2 linked regions of the Arabidopsis thaliana genome follow. The protein of the gene in region 2 interacts with the protein of the main gene of each other region in a pairwise test. Each region holds a gene or a part of one and is shown on either strand. Other genes may lie near its edges.

Region 1 (5,043 bases), about 13 Mb from region 2:
CAAGACAACTCGAGAGCTGTCTTGATGCGGGTGACGATGTCAAAAGCATCTCCCGGGAGGGAATCATTGAGATCATCATCGCGTTCCGCTTTGTTGAACGAGTTGGTCGCGATCAAGACAGATGCATCACAACCTTCAAGGAAACAATCATGGAAAAAGAGACGGAGGGTCCCGGCCGCAGTTGTTGGTTGTTGGACTTGTTTGGTTGTAACGGCTTCACGCACAATTTTGTGGAAATCAGGACATGTTTTTTGGTAATAGTCCGTTCTCAAGATAGCGACATCAGCCGATATAATTGGTGCAACCACGGCGAGACAGAAGAGGATAACAAAGGGATTAAAACCACGAGAGAATTGCATATTCGACATCAGATAATAACAAACAATGGTAATTGAATTGGATTTGTGAGAGAGATGTCTACGAGGTAGACTTCTCTACGATCGATTGTCGTCGAAAGCAATTAGAAACGAAGACGAAGAAAGGGCCTTTGCGACTATTTCATGGCTTAGGAGGTTACTAAGAAGAGGCTACGTAAAGGATGGTTTTCATTTCCTTATATGTACGTGTGGTTGTTTTTCGTTTATTCTTTTCTATTTTTGTAATTTATCTATTTTTTGTATGGTTTTGGTTGCTTTGAATTTGTTTTGGTTCTAGAAATTTTCTTATGTTCGACAAATGTGGTAATATGATAGTTGCTTTAATAGGATGCATACACACGTGAAATTGATAAATACGAGAGAATAGAAACTCATGTGAAGGAAAAAACTAATATTAATTAAAATTATTCATTTCGCACAAACAAACAAACAAATTAAAATCATTCATAGTTTATCAACTAAACTTTAAACTTGACGTTATTTTATAATTTTGTTGAATCAACAACCTGTGAAGGTGAAGGTGCCAATGATTGTGACAACATGATGTTTGGTATGCTTACGTTAATTTGATCCAAGAACAGTTTTCTAGCAAATGTTTGATGAACTAGACTCAAATAAAAATACCTACTCATGTAGAAATCACGCAAGCTCAACATTATTAGAGATCTGATTGAATTTGATATTTTCGTCAGATTCGTATCAATCTCAATTTTGTATTACATATAACGAGCCTAACTCTCATATGGGGCAGATCTTTTTGTAAGTTCGAATGAGAGTTATGCCTTTGGTAACATAAATTGCTAGACCACAAAATTACATATTTTCTTATTTAACCTACGCAAAATCGCAAATATCTAAGAGTGCAAATGATTTCATAAAGGAATTTAATGGAATAAATATATGAATAAAAAAAAAGAAGATGAATAATGTTATTCAATCAATTCCACCTGCGACATAGTAAAAAAAAAGAGTTGAATAATTATTATTTTTTAATTTTCACCCTTTTCAATGTAATCATTTAAAAAAAAAAACTTTTTTGTCATCCCAAAAGTATAGAATTGGAAGAATGGTTTATTATACCACTTTTATTCTTCTAGCTGTACCATTTGCATAATAAGTTTCTCTATACCGGAACCAAATTCTTGTATTTTCTATATTAAATATTCTAATATGAGAAGTTGAATGTTAAGAATTTTTTTTTACTTATCATGCTATCTTATTATAGAAAATTTGGTTTCTCAAAAGTAGTTATTAACATAATCTAATATGAGAAGTTGAATGTTAAAATTAAATATTTACTTAACATGTGAACTTATCATAGAAAACTTTGGTTTCCAAACTTGTTCATAATTTTTTTCTAAAATAAAATAGTAAAAAAGTAAATCTAATTCAAATAAAAATAAGATAATCAATTATTTAAAGTGTTAGAAAAATAGAGTGATAAAATAAGAAATAAACATCATTCAACAAACCTAAATATTTAGAAATATGTAGAAATTTAATTGAAAACCCCAAAAAAATATGAAGGGAGGCTTTGGTGTCTAAAAATTAGTAATTGGGCCCAATATCTCGTGCGCAAAGCCCATATTACATAGAGCATGGCGCGTATAAATAACATACATCTTATGTATTTATCTCTCTCACGCGCCCCTCTTTTCTTCTTCATTGACACGGACATTCGTTTCCAATTCTCTCTAATGTTTCACTAAAGCGCATACATAACCCTAACCCTAACTCTCTCGTACTGCACAAAAAAAAAAAAAAAATTGAAGAAGAGCGATACGATCGTAACCAGGGAGCTTGATTTCTCCCCTGATTTTTCTAATGGATTCTCAACAGAGCGATCTCTTTGACACCGCATCGCAGCCGGACACGGTGGCCGACGAGTATACCTTTTTGGAATTCAATACTCAAGGCGATTCAGAGTTCGATTACCAGGATTTTGGATCGCCGACGGCATGGCCGACACCGTCTGATTCTATTTCCATCGCTGACGTTGCCGATCGTGGTGAAGGAGGAGCTGCCGCGGATCATCATTCTGAGGCTTCGTCACCTTCGTCCCTCTCTGCCGGTGCCGGGAATGGTGCGAAAGTGGGACGCGGTGGAGTTGGTGGAAGTGGTGGTGTTAGTAGTAGTAGTCAGGTTGATGCATTGGCCGCTGGTGTGGGAAATTTGAACTTTGAAGAGACTGGTGATGATGATGGTTTTGATTATGGTAAAAATGATTTCACGGAGCACGCTTGTAAGTATTGTGGTATCTCGAACCCAGCTTGCGTCGTTAGGTGTAATGTGGCTTCTTGTAGAAAGTGGTTCTGCAATTCAAGGGGAAACACCTCAGGCTCTCATATTGTGAATCACCTGGTTAGTAATCATCACTGTAATCTGTTTTTTTTTTTCATCTTCTGGAAGTGTTGTAGTTTCTTGTGTTGTTGTTAAGACATGTGGTCATAGGTATCTCTGGTTTGGTTTGTTTACTCTACAATTTCCATGAGATAGGGTTGCACGCAATTGAACCTTTCTTAATGGATTTCCTTCTGTTGGTTATTTTTAAGGTGCGAGCAAAACACAAGGAAGTTTGTCTCCATAGAGACAGTCCACTAGGGGAAACAATTCTCGAATGCTACAACTGTGGGTGTCGGAATGTCTTTCTTCTCGGTTTCATCTCAGCAAAGACAGATAGTGTTGTCGTCCTTCTCTGTAGAGATCCTTGTCTAAATGTAAATGCCCTGAAGGATATGAACTGGGACCTAAGTCAGTGGTGTCCCTTGATTGACGACAGATGTTTCCTCCCCTGGCTTGTTAAGGTTAGTTTCTGTCCTTGCATTTTTTCTTACGAAGACATTTTCATGTGATAGCTTTTATTAATTCTTGTTTTACAGGTCCCATCAGAGCAAGAACAGCTAAGGGCACGCCAAATTAGCGCACAGCAAATAAACAAGATAGAGGAATTATGGAAGACAAATCCGGATGCTACTCTTGAAGACCTTGAAAAACCTGGTGTAGATGATGAACCTCAGCCTGTTCAACCTAAGTATGAAGATGCGTACCAGGTATAGATTTTCTCAGCCTTTTACTTATAAAATAAGTAACTCAATTGATATATTAGAGAAACAGTAAATTCGTCATGCCACTTTTGGAAGAGGTCACTGTTAGAATTATGCTTCTATACTTATCCTTTCTGGTGGTTTGCAGTATCAAAATGTGTTTGCACCTCTAATCAAACTCGAAGCAGACTATGACAAGGTGTGTATTTAGTAATTCATTTTATTTGGATTGATTTTCATGTCCCTTTTATATTTGTTCTGTTGGGACTTATCATCTTAAGTCTGCTGTAGATGATGAAAGAGTCTCAAAGCAAGGAAAACCTCACTGTTCGGTGGGATATTGGTCTTAACAAGAAGCGTGTTGCATACTTCGTCTTCCCAAAGGTGGTTGAAATCTAGTGGTCGCTATTAAGCCTTGATTAGAACATTTCCCGATTTAAACTTTTGATGCAGGAGGAAAATGAATTGCGATTGGTACCGGGTGATGAACTACGTCTGCGGTACTCGGGAGATGCTGTTCATCCATCCTGGCAGTCAGTTGGACATGTGGTATACATCGTTCTTGGTTTTGTTATGTTAGTAGGGTGGAGATCCTGTATTTGAGAGTGTTTAGGTCTTTACCATAAAATTTTAATAATTCTCCAGATCAAGCTAACGGCGCAAGAGGAGGTTGCTCTTGAACTCCGAGCTAATCAGGTGAGTATAATTCTGATGTTAGCTTTGCTTTTGACATCGACTTGCGGAGATATGTTCAACCTCACTTACTCTGTGTGTAGGGAGTTCCGATTGACGTAAATCATGGATTCAGTGTTGATTTTGTTTGGAAAAGTACAAGCTTTGATCGAATGCAGGGAGCAATGAAGAATTTTGCTGTAGATGAAACAAGTGTGAGTGGGTAAGTCAGTCATCGGAAAGCCTAGCTCCTTCTTGGTACGTGTCCATTTGTTACTGCATGCTAATCAACCACTGAATCACTATGTTTCTATTCTTTGAAGTTATATCTACCATCAGTTATTGGGACATGAAGTTGAGGCCCAGATGGTTCGTAACACACTACCTCGACGTTTTGGGGTACCTGGTCTTCCAGAACTGAATGCATCTCAGGTAATCATTGGCTTTCAGCTTATCCAGTTCATGAATAATGTTCGTCGTAAATGTCTTCACGGAATTTTCAGAGTCGTTTTGATCCCGTGTTCCTTGTTAACACGATGAATAATATATGTTATCTATATAACGGATTTATAACAGGCTCTATTGTATCCTTGAGCAGGTTAATGCGGTGAAAAGTGTCCTTCAGAAGCCCATCAGCTTGATCCAAGGTCCACCTGGCACAGGCAAAACTGTGACTTCTGCAGCAATTGTGTATCACATGGCAAAACAGGGCCAGGGACAGGTAAAGCTGATTGTTATTGATTCCCTCAAGATTGCTTTTTGTGAGTTGACTATCAGATATTTATTATTATTACCTGACAGGTTCTCGTTTGTGCCCCAAGTAATGTTGCTGTGGACCAACTAGCTGAAAAAATTAGTGCTACTGGGTTAAAGGTAAACTTTTAAACCTCCTAGTTTTTCTATTAAAATTTTGCGTAAGACATGGATACTTCAATTTATTGTTCATTTTT
Region 2 (7,082 bases):
TCTTCCTCTTCTCCGGCTACTTTATCCCAAAAGAGAAGATCCCAAAACCATGGATGTTCATGTACTATGTGTCCTTGTACCGTTACCCGCTGGAGTCTATGGTGGTGAATGAGTACTGGAGCATGCGAGAGGAATGCTTCTCCAGTGGGAACATGGGCTGCTTGATGACCGGAGAGGATGTGTTGAAGGAGAGAGGGCTTGACAAGGATACGAGATGGATCAACGTCGGGATCATGCTTGCCTTTTTCGTTTTTTATCGAATCCTCTGCTGGGGTATTCTACTCAGGAAGGCTTCCAAGTCAACCCATTAAAGATTTCATTGTATAGGGAGAACTGTATTCAGTCTTCTATGTTCATATACAATTACAACTTCTTTTTAACATTTTTCGACATCAGTTTTATCAAGTTCATTTGTAGCAGCATTGGCATATTACAGATTTCAAAATGCCAAGGGAGTAAAATGAGCCTGTAAATGAAGTGAAATTATGTATAAAATCCGACCTTTAAAATCAAAGGTATTCTCACAGATCTTCAAGAGGAGGAAGTATTTCAACACCAAATCATGTTTTATCACATGAGTCCCTTTTTTATTCATTGCAAAGTTTCACACACCTTATGATGGTTCAACTTAAAACGACACAGCAAAACAGAGACAAGTTTGAGACAAGCATAGAATATAGAGGAAATAAAAGTAAAGCAACCCAAGAGAGAGAGAGATAGCTGCAAGAGGACGGACAGCTACACAGTCATACGCAAGAAGAAAAGAAAACAGCAAACAACTGCTTCAGATATCGAGAGTGAGCCACATGCTACGTATGTTCCTTTCTTATTCATAAGGTTTAACATCTCCACCTCAAGTAGCACGAGAAAGGCACTTTACTCCTATCAATTCCACAGAACCATTCATTCTTGTTACCACATATCTCTTCACCAACATGAGCTGTGTCCTGAATCTATCATCAATAAACATTGGTGATTTGTATGAGTGCCTACGCATGTGTAAACAAGGAACTGCAATACTAGCTTAAAGAAAACGATGAAAAGGACCAACCCGTCAGGTAGGAAGTGCCCCACAAGAAGCCAAGGCCACAAAGACTCCAACTAGAGACTTCAGCAGAACAAGGATCAGTTGGAGTTAGGTAGCAATAAACGTTGCGTAACACTCACCTGCATCATTCCCAATTACCTAGATCAACACTAATAACAATAAGATAGTTTACAAAGTATTTGATAATGCAAAGGAGCTTTATGTTTGCTCTTACCGTGTTACTCTTCCATTCTGATCTCACACAAAGTGACGACTCGACCAAGTCGACTGTCCTTGATATTGCTCGGGGAGTTGAGTTGACTGATGGTTTTTGTCCACAAAGTTATCTTTCTGAGGGTTCTGGAAATAAGGAAAATCTGCTTGGACCTGTGAAGTTGGAACTTGTTTTCCAGGAAACGGAAAGTTGGCAGGCCCGTTCAGTCCATTGCCAGTACTACCCAAGTGTTCTGGTTTCCCAGAGGTGGCGTAATTCAAAGAACTGTTCAGCCCAACGCCTCGAGAAGATTGAGCTTGGTATCCATCCAACCAGCTGTAATCATCAACCGGTAGGTGGTTGTTGCCAGACAATTCCGAACCAGGTGCTGGCTCCTTTTGCAGCTTAGCTGGGACAGAGTTAAACCCAGGCGGAGGGCCAAGATGCCTGAAGGCTCTACTGATTGGATTTTTCTTTGCTAATGAAGATTGGACGCCCAGGCCATCAGCAACAACTCCGGATGATAAAACAGGATCAATTTTGGGTGGGAATACAGCTTCAGGTGTTCTTGACTGAGAATATGGCATACCACCCATACCATTGCCATTGTAAGACTGGTGGACGGGTAATGAGTGTGCAGGGTAATAGGAAACTCCATGATTTCCTTGCATCTCATTCCTCATTACATGACCATTACCCAGCTGAGCAAACCCAGATAGGCTACTAGCAAGAGAAGCAGCTTCTTCGGGTGACCACTTGCTACCACCACCAAAGGAAGTAGATTGCGAGTGGGCCGGTGAAACATGTGAAACCTGAGCTTGAGTTTGTTGAAAGTGCACAACCCGTGATGGCAGTGGTTGTGCGACCTGTGATTGTATTGGCTGAAGTCGAGAAGCAGCTAGTGATTGGGCTGGCTGAGGATTCACTGCCTGCGTCTGAACTTGTTGCATATGCATAGCTTGAGACTGGGTTGATGTCAGAAGAAGTCCCAGAAGGTTAGCACCAACAGATGCAGGTACTTGAACCTGCGTCTGAACTTGTTGCATATGCATAGCTTGAGACTGGGTTGATGGCTGTAGAGGTCCCAGAAGGTTAGCACCAACAGATGCAGGCACTTGAATACTCGCATTGCCTCTAGCTTGCAGAATTTGATTTTCATGAAAAGCTACATCAGATCCACTTAAAGCTTTAAAGTCCCCCATAGTAGTAACTTGATCAGATTTCCTGAAGCCTCCACTAGGAACATATATTTGGTCAGAAGCCTCTTTCCTCTTTTCAGTAACAAGCGGCTTGAAAACAATTACTTCATCATCATCATCTTCCTCACCCATATAAATCTGTTGATCAAGCTGCATTATTGGCGAGTTATGATCTATCATTACCTGGTTATCTTGCAAAGCATTACAAGCTTTAGGTGGGCTTGAATGAGAATCCAGAAAGTCATCTGCCGGTTTTACACCAACAAGAAACTTCTTCTTCTTTGAATCAAAATATACATGATTCTGATCAACTTTGATCACACTGGTCAAAGCTTTCCCTGCTGCAAAGATCCTCTTTATACGAGCTTTCTTTTCCTTGGGACCTTCAGTTCCAAACGAATGTTTCCTTGAGAAGTTGAGAATCGTCTGAGCTGGAAGCAGTGGCAAGAATCCTCTTAGTTCATAGTCCTCCCATAGTGCAAGCCGGTTTTCAGTTTCTCTTTCATCATACAAGCTCATGTTTGAGAAGCAAGTCTCGTCTTCGACATCATCAATAAACGTAGGTCCAAGCGATAAGACTTGATTGAAGAAGACAACAAACTGGTTCCAAAAGCTATTTCTTACAGCAGTCTGTCTATCATCGGGATCACTTCCCAGTGCAATGTCAGGACAACAGGCCAACCATTCAACAAAAACTAAGACACCAGGCAAAAAGTAACTCGACGAAGGATCTCCCAGTTGCACACACTTCTCTATTACGAGTCCAAGTAACTCGAAACTAGCTGTTAAGGAGTTTCTGGCAGGCTCAACACGCTGTACAATCTCTGCATATGACTGACCTTCTGTCTCTTTCTTTGAGTTATGAACACTAAATATAAGCATTGTCACGACTCTAACAATGAAAAGTGCGCTGTCACTGGTGTCTATGCCCAAAGTCAGCTCTTTAGCTGAGCCCAAAGAAATCACCTCTCGTAAACTGCTGCTAGTGGAGGCAAGAACATCAAAGAATGTCTCCAGGCTGTGAAGACAAGTGATAGGTATTATACCAGAGAGCCGGTATCAGAATCTAGAACAAAATAATTCAGAAAAATTTACCTTGTTCGGGTAAAAAGAATCCCATTGAGATGAACAAATCTAATGCTGAATGCTTTGAGCATCTCATTTGCAATAGTTACTTTATCCTTCTCAGGACCAGCTACCAAGGTCGCATCTTTCAATGAAATATCTGCACCTTTCCCTCTTCCTTTACCAGTCAGCCTCTTGGATGAGTCTTTGGAGGGCACAAACAATTTTTCATAACTCTGACGATTCTGCTCAAAGAGAGAAAGATACATTATATTTGGATGATAAAAAAGTGAAAGAATAATCACACTCTTACGCCAAGCCACTAAAATAATAATGAAACAGGAACTTTTTAGTTAACCTTATCAAAAGCAACAATCAAGTTGTCACGGGCAGTTGGGAAAGGATACTCCACAGCCAAACTTCGGAAATAACGATATGTTGTTACAAACTCATCCCTCGAATAAGAAGCAACTATTGCAAGCTGAGACATTAAGTTAATCTAGTCAGAAAAAATGTATTCCATAGTTGTACGAAATATAAAATAACATGAGAAAGAGGGGAAAACAAGGGAATCACCTGATGATGTGGGTTTCCACTGGCTGGCCATAGAGAAGCTGCTTGCAAATAGTAACTTGAAGCAGAAGCATACTGTCTGCTCCTGGAATCCCCCTCTGCATACATTCCTTTATACCGAGCCAGATCACCAAGGTATATTAAGCAACGATGACAAGATTTCAAGGCTTTTTGAACTTCTGCTAACTCTTTTCCATCTTTATCAGACAAATTTTGACTCTGTTGATCCTCAGAAAAAGAACCCAGGGGAAGGCCATACTTTGATCTAATTTTTAAGATCATGTCATGGTAAAACCCAGTTGCTTCTGAAAGGAATGTTCTGAACTGCAGCTTGAGTTGTGCAATTTGTTCTGCTTTAGAAGGACCCTTGACATTTTGCGCTGCTGTCGAGGTACTAGAAGCCAATACACGATTGATGTGTAATCTAAAATATTCAATCCGTTTGTAATGCAACTGCCACAGAGGAATTTCAATGTTGTGCTGCTCAGAAAAGGTATGACTTTCAAGAATTATTGCTTCATACTTCTCACGTAAGAGCTGCAACAAATTTGGGTCAGGTGGATTTCCAGCCTTCTGACGCTTGTTTGCTAACTCAGCAATCTGCAAAGTAAGCATCTATAGTCAATACAACGTCGTCCCAAAATCTTACAAAGATATAGGGTCAAGTGAATTGACAAAACGACCTTATACATCCCCAACAAATAAACTAAGATTGCATCCCTAAGAGATATGTTAAATCACTCCAAAAACAAGAACAAACCAAATTGAGAAATGTAAGTGTAGTAGAGAGAGAACCTCATCATATATGGACTTGGCTCGCTCCCATGAAGAGGAAGCAGTAGTTTTATCCATCTGTAAAGTCATCATCCATCAAATGTTTCAATGTTATTTCATATGTAACCTGCAATAAGATAAGAAAGCCAAAACCTTATCATCTAAAACAAAGTAATAAAACAGCCGAGCTAAAATCGTCTAAAGTGTTTGGAGCTTTATACTAAAGAACAGAGACAAGTCAAACCCTTGAATTGGAATAAAGACCATTGACATAAAATCAAAACGATTGCACCAGTGATCAAACGCCGATTTCAAAAGAGTAAAAGAACACATGAATCACAAAGACCCTTCATATCAGAATCGTTTTGCCTATAATCATCAATCATAAACTATTACCCGCAAGACGAGAAGCGAAATCAAAGCAGAATCAGGATCGAATTCAAAAAGGGCAAGCATACAAAAGAAACCCTATTCCCAAGATTTTTAATTTTGAAGAAAAAAAAAACGACGAGATAAGAAGAAAACAACCAAATTCTCGAAATTAGGAATAAAGGGAAGAAATCTAACCGGAATTAACAGATCTGCGGGGATGGGCTATGCGACCAGAAGCATCGGAATGAAAAATCGGTGAGAAGAGAGAAAAACTAGGGTTTTTTTTTCCGCGAGAGAGAGGAAAAAAAAAATAGAGACGGTGAAGATTGTATAAGGTCGACTTTTGCTTATATATAAAAACAATAGAGAGGACATATAAATAGTGAACAATGAATATTAAGAAGAAGAAAAAAAAAAGGATTGTCCAAGTGTTTTCTTTCTCGCTATTGGTTTAGTCAAACGGAGAATGTTGCCTTACGGGATTTGATGAACGTCGTCGTTTCTTAGTCTTTTCTTTTCAAAGATTTGACATCAAAGATTTTTGGACTTCTTTATTACTACTTGTTCTCAAACACATTGGTTGTGATTTACTAGTCGAGACAATCTGCATAATGTTTAACAAACAGGTAAAATTACTAGGAGAATGATTGAAATCTCGGTTGTTTAGTGTTCGTACATCTTGTTGGATGAGTTATACTTGTTTTTCGTAGTGAATGATACATAATTATTTATAGTAAGTTAAGATATATGTGTGGTGTGTTATTTGAATTTCGCGGGTTTTTTTTTTAACTTCTTCCAACGGTATTTAATATTTCTTTTTATTCCTTATATATTAATTGAGAAGCATTTTAAAAAAATAACCATACTTTTATGTATCATTAAGGAAAATGTCACGCTGACATGTCGTTCTCACATTGCTTCTCAATCCATTTAATTAAACACCCAACATAATATTTACGAATTTGTCATTAGTTTTACTTCTATTTATTTTTTTAAATTAATTTATGCTTTTCATTCAATTATTAAAATGAAAATTCAATTAAAATATATGATTAAGAGATATAAATCTATACAAAATAGAGTATCTAATATTTTATATCTATTAATATAACAAGATATACATAATAAATCATGATAAACATAAACATTAATACATAAATAAATATTTCACTAATTTTGATAATTAATTAATACACCATTATTTATCTAATAATAATCAATTATATTGCGGGTATTAAATAATTATACATAAAAGTTATCAATTATACATAAAAGTTATTAAATAATTTTTTCTACCCCGCACTATGTGCGGATATTATCTAGTTGTATTGTGATGGCGATTTAAAAATTAAGCCCTCCCACATAAGAGGAAAATGAAAATGTAATACTGTATATGTTAAAATTCCACATTAATGTAAATATCTATGTTTATGCTTTTATGATTTTTTTTAAAAAATAATGTATTTATGATAAGATTTCATTCCCCTTTTTAAGACAGATTTTCTTCCTTTTTTAAACATCTTGTTTTAGGATTTTTATGTTTAGTTGATTTGAATTGATATAAAATCAATAATCAATAAGATTTTATTAATTTATTCATTTAGTAATTGGACATATGTCAACTTCCCATACTCTGATGAGATCTCACATAAAGGTTCTCTAACTTTCATAGAATATATATATATATATATATATATATATATATATATATATGTTTTTTTAAAAAATTGGTTTTAAACTTTGATAGAATAGATTAATATAATATTGTTGTATATCCAGGTTTGATGTAACTGAATCATGTAAATACATTATTGGCTACAAATGAAAATTAAGAGACTTTCAGTTGTAATTGGCTTGG

What was found.
Region 1: the proteins of SMG7 (region 2) and LBA1 come close enough for resonance energy transfer, tested with the Arabidopsis thaliana proteins (one study listed by BioGRID).

Annotation. Positions count from the first base shown.
Region 1 is NC_003076.8:19,069,808-19,074,850, forward strand, and holds the start of LBA1 (RNA helicase), read left to right. Parts: upstream 1-2,016; 5' UTR 2,017-2,201; coding exon 2,202-2,738; intron 2,739-2,929; coding exon 2,930-3,181; intron 3,182-3,256; coding exon 3,257-3,427; intron 3,428-3,569; coding exon 3,570-3,620; intron 3,621-3,712; coding exon 3,713-3,805; intron 3,806-3,874; coding exon 3,875-3,970; intron 3,971-4,066; coding exon 4,067-4,117; intron 4,118-4,197; coding exon 4,198-4,316; intron 4,317-4,416; coding exon 4,417-4,525; intron 4,526-4,691; coding exon 4,692-4,814; intron 4,815-4,894; coding exon 4,895-4,966; intron 4,967-5,043. Other genes in the region: AT5G47000 (Peroxidase superfamily protein), read right to left, coding at 1-368. UniProt on the Arabidopsis thaliana protein: Involved in nonsense-mediated decay (NMD) of mRNAs containing premature stop codons (premature termination codon PTC) by associating with the nuclear exon junction complex (EJC) and serving as link between the EJC core and NMD machinery.
Region 2 is NC_003076.8:6,538,466-6,545,547, reverse strand, and holds SMG7 (Telomerase activating protein Est1), read right to left. Parts: upstream 5,546-7,082; 5' UTR 5,420-5,545; intron 4,980-5,419; 5' UTR 4,946-4,979; coding exon 4,874-4,945; intron 4,679-4,873; coding exon 4,082-4,678; intron 3,987-4,081; coding exon 3,864-3,986; intron 3,751-3,863; coding exon 3,536-3,750; intron 3,459-3,535; coding exon 1,286-3,458; 3' UTR 1,263-1,285; intron 1,187-1,262; 3' UTR 1,052-1,186; intron 954-1,051; 3' UTR 533-953; downstream 1-532. Other genes in the region: ABCG23 (ABC-2 type transporter family protein), read left to right, coding at 1-311. UniProt on the Arabidopsis thaliana protein: Plays multiple roles in growth and development. Involved in nonsense-mediated mRNA decay (NMD). May provide a link to the mRNA degradation machinery to initiate NMD and serve as an adapter for UPF proteins function.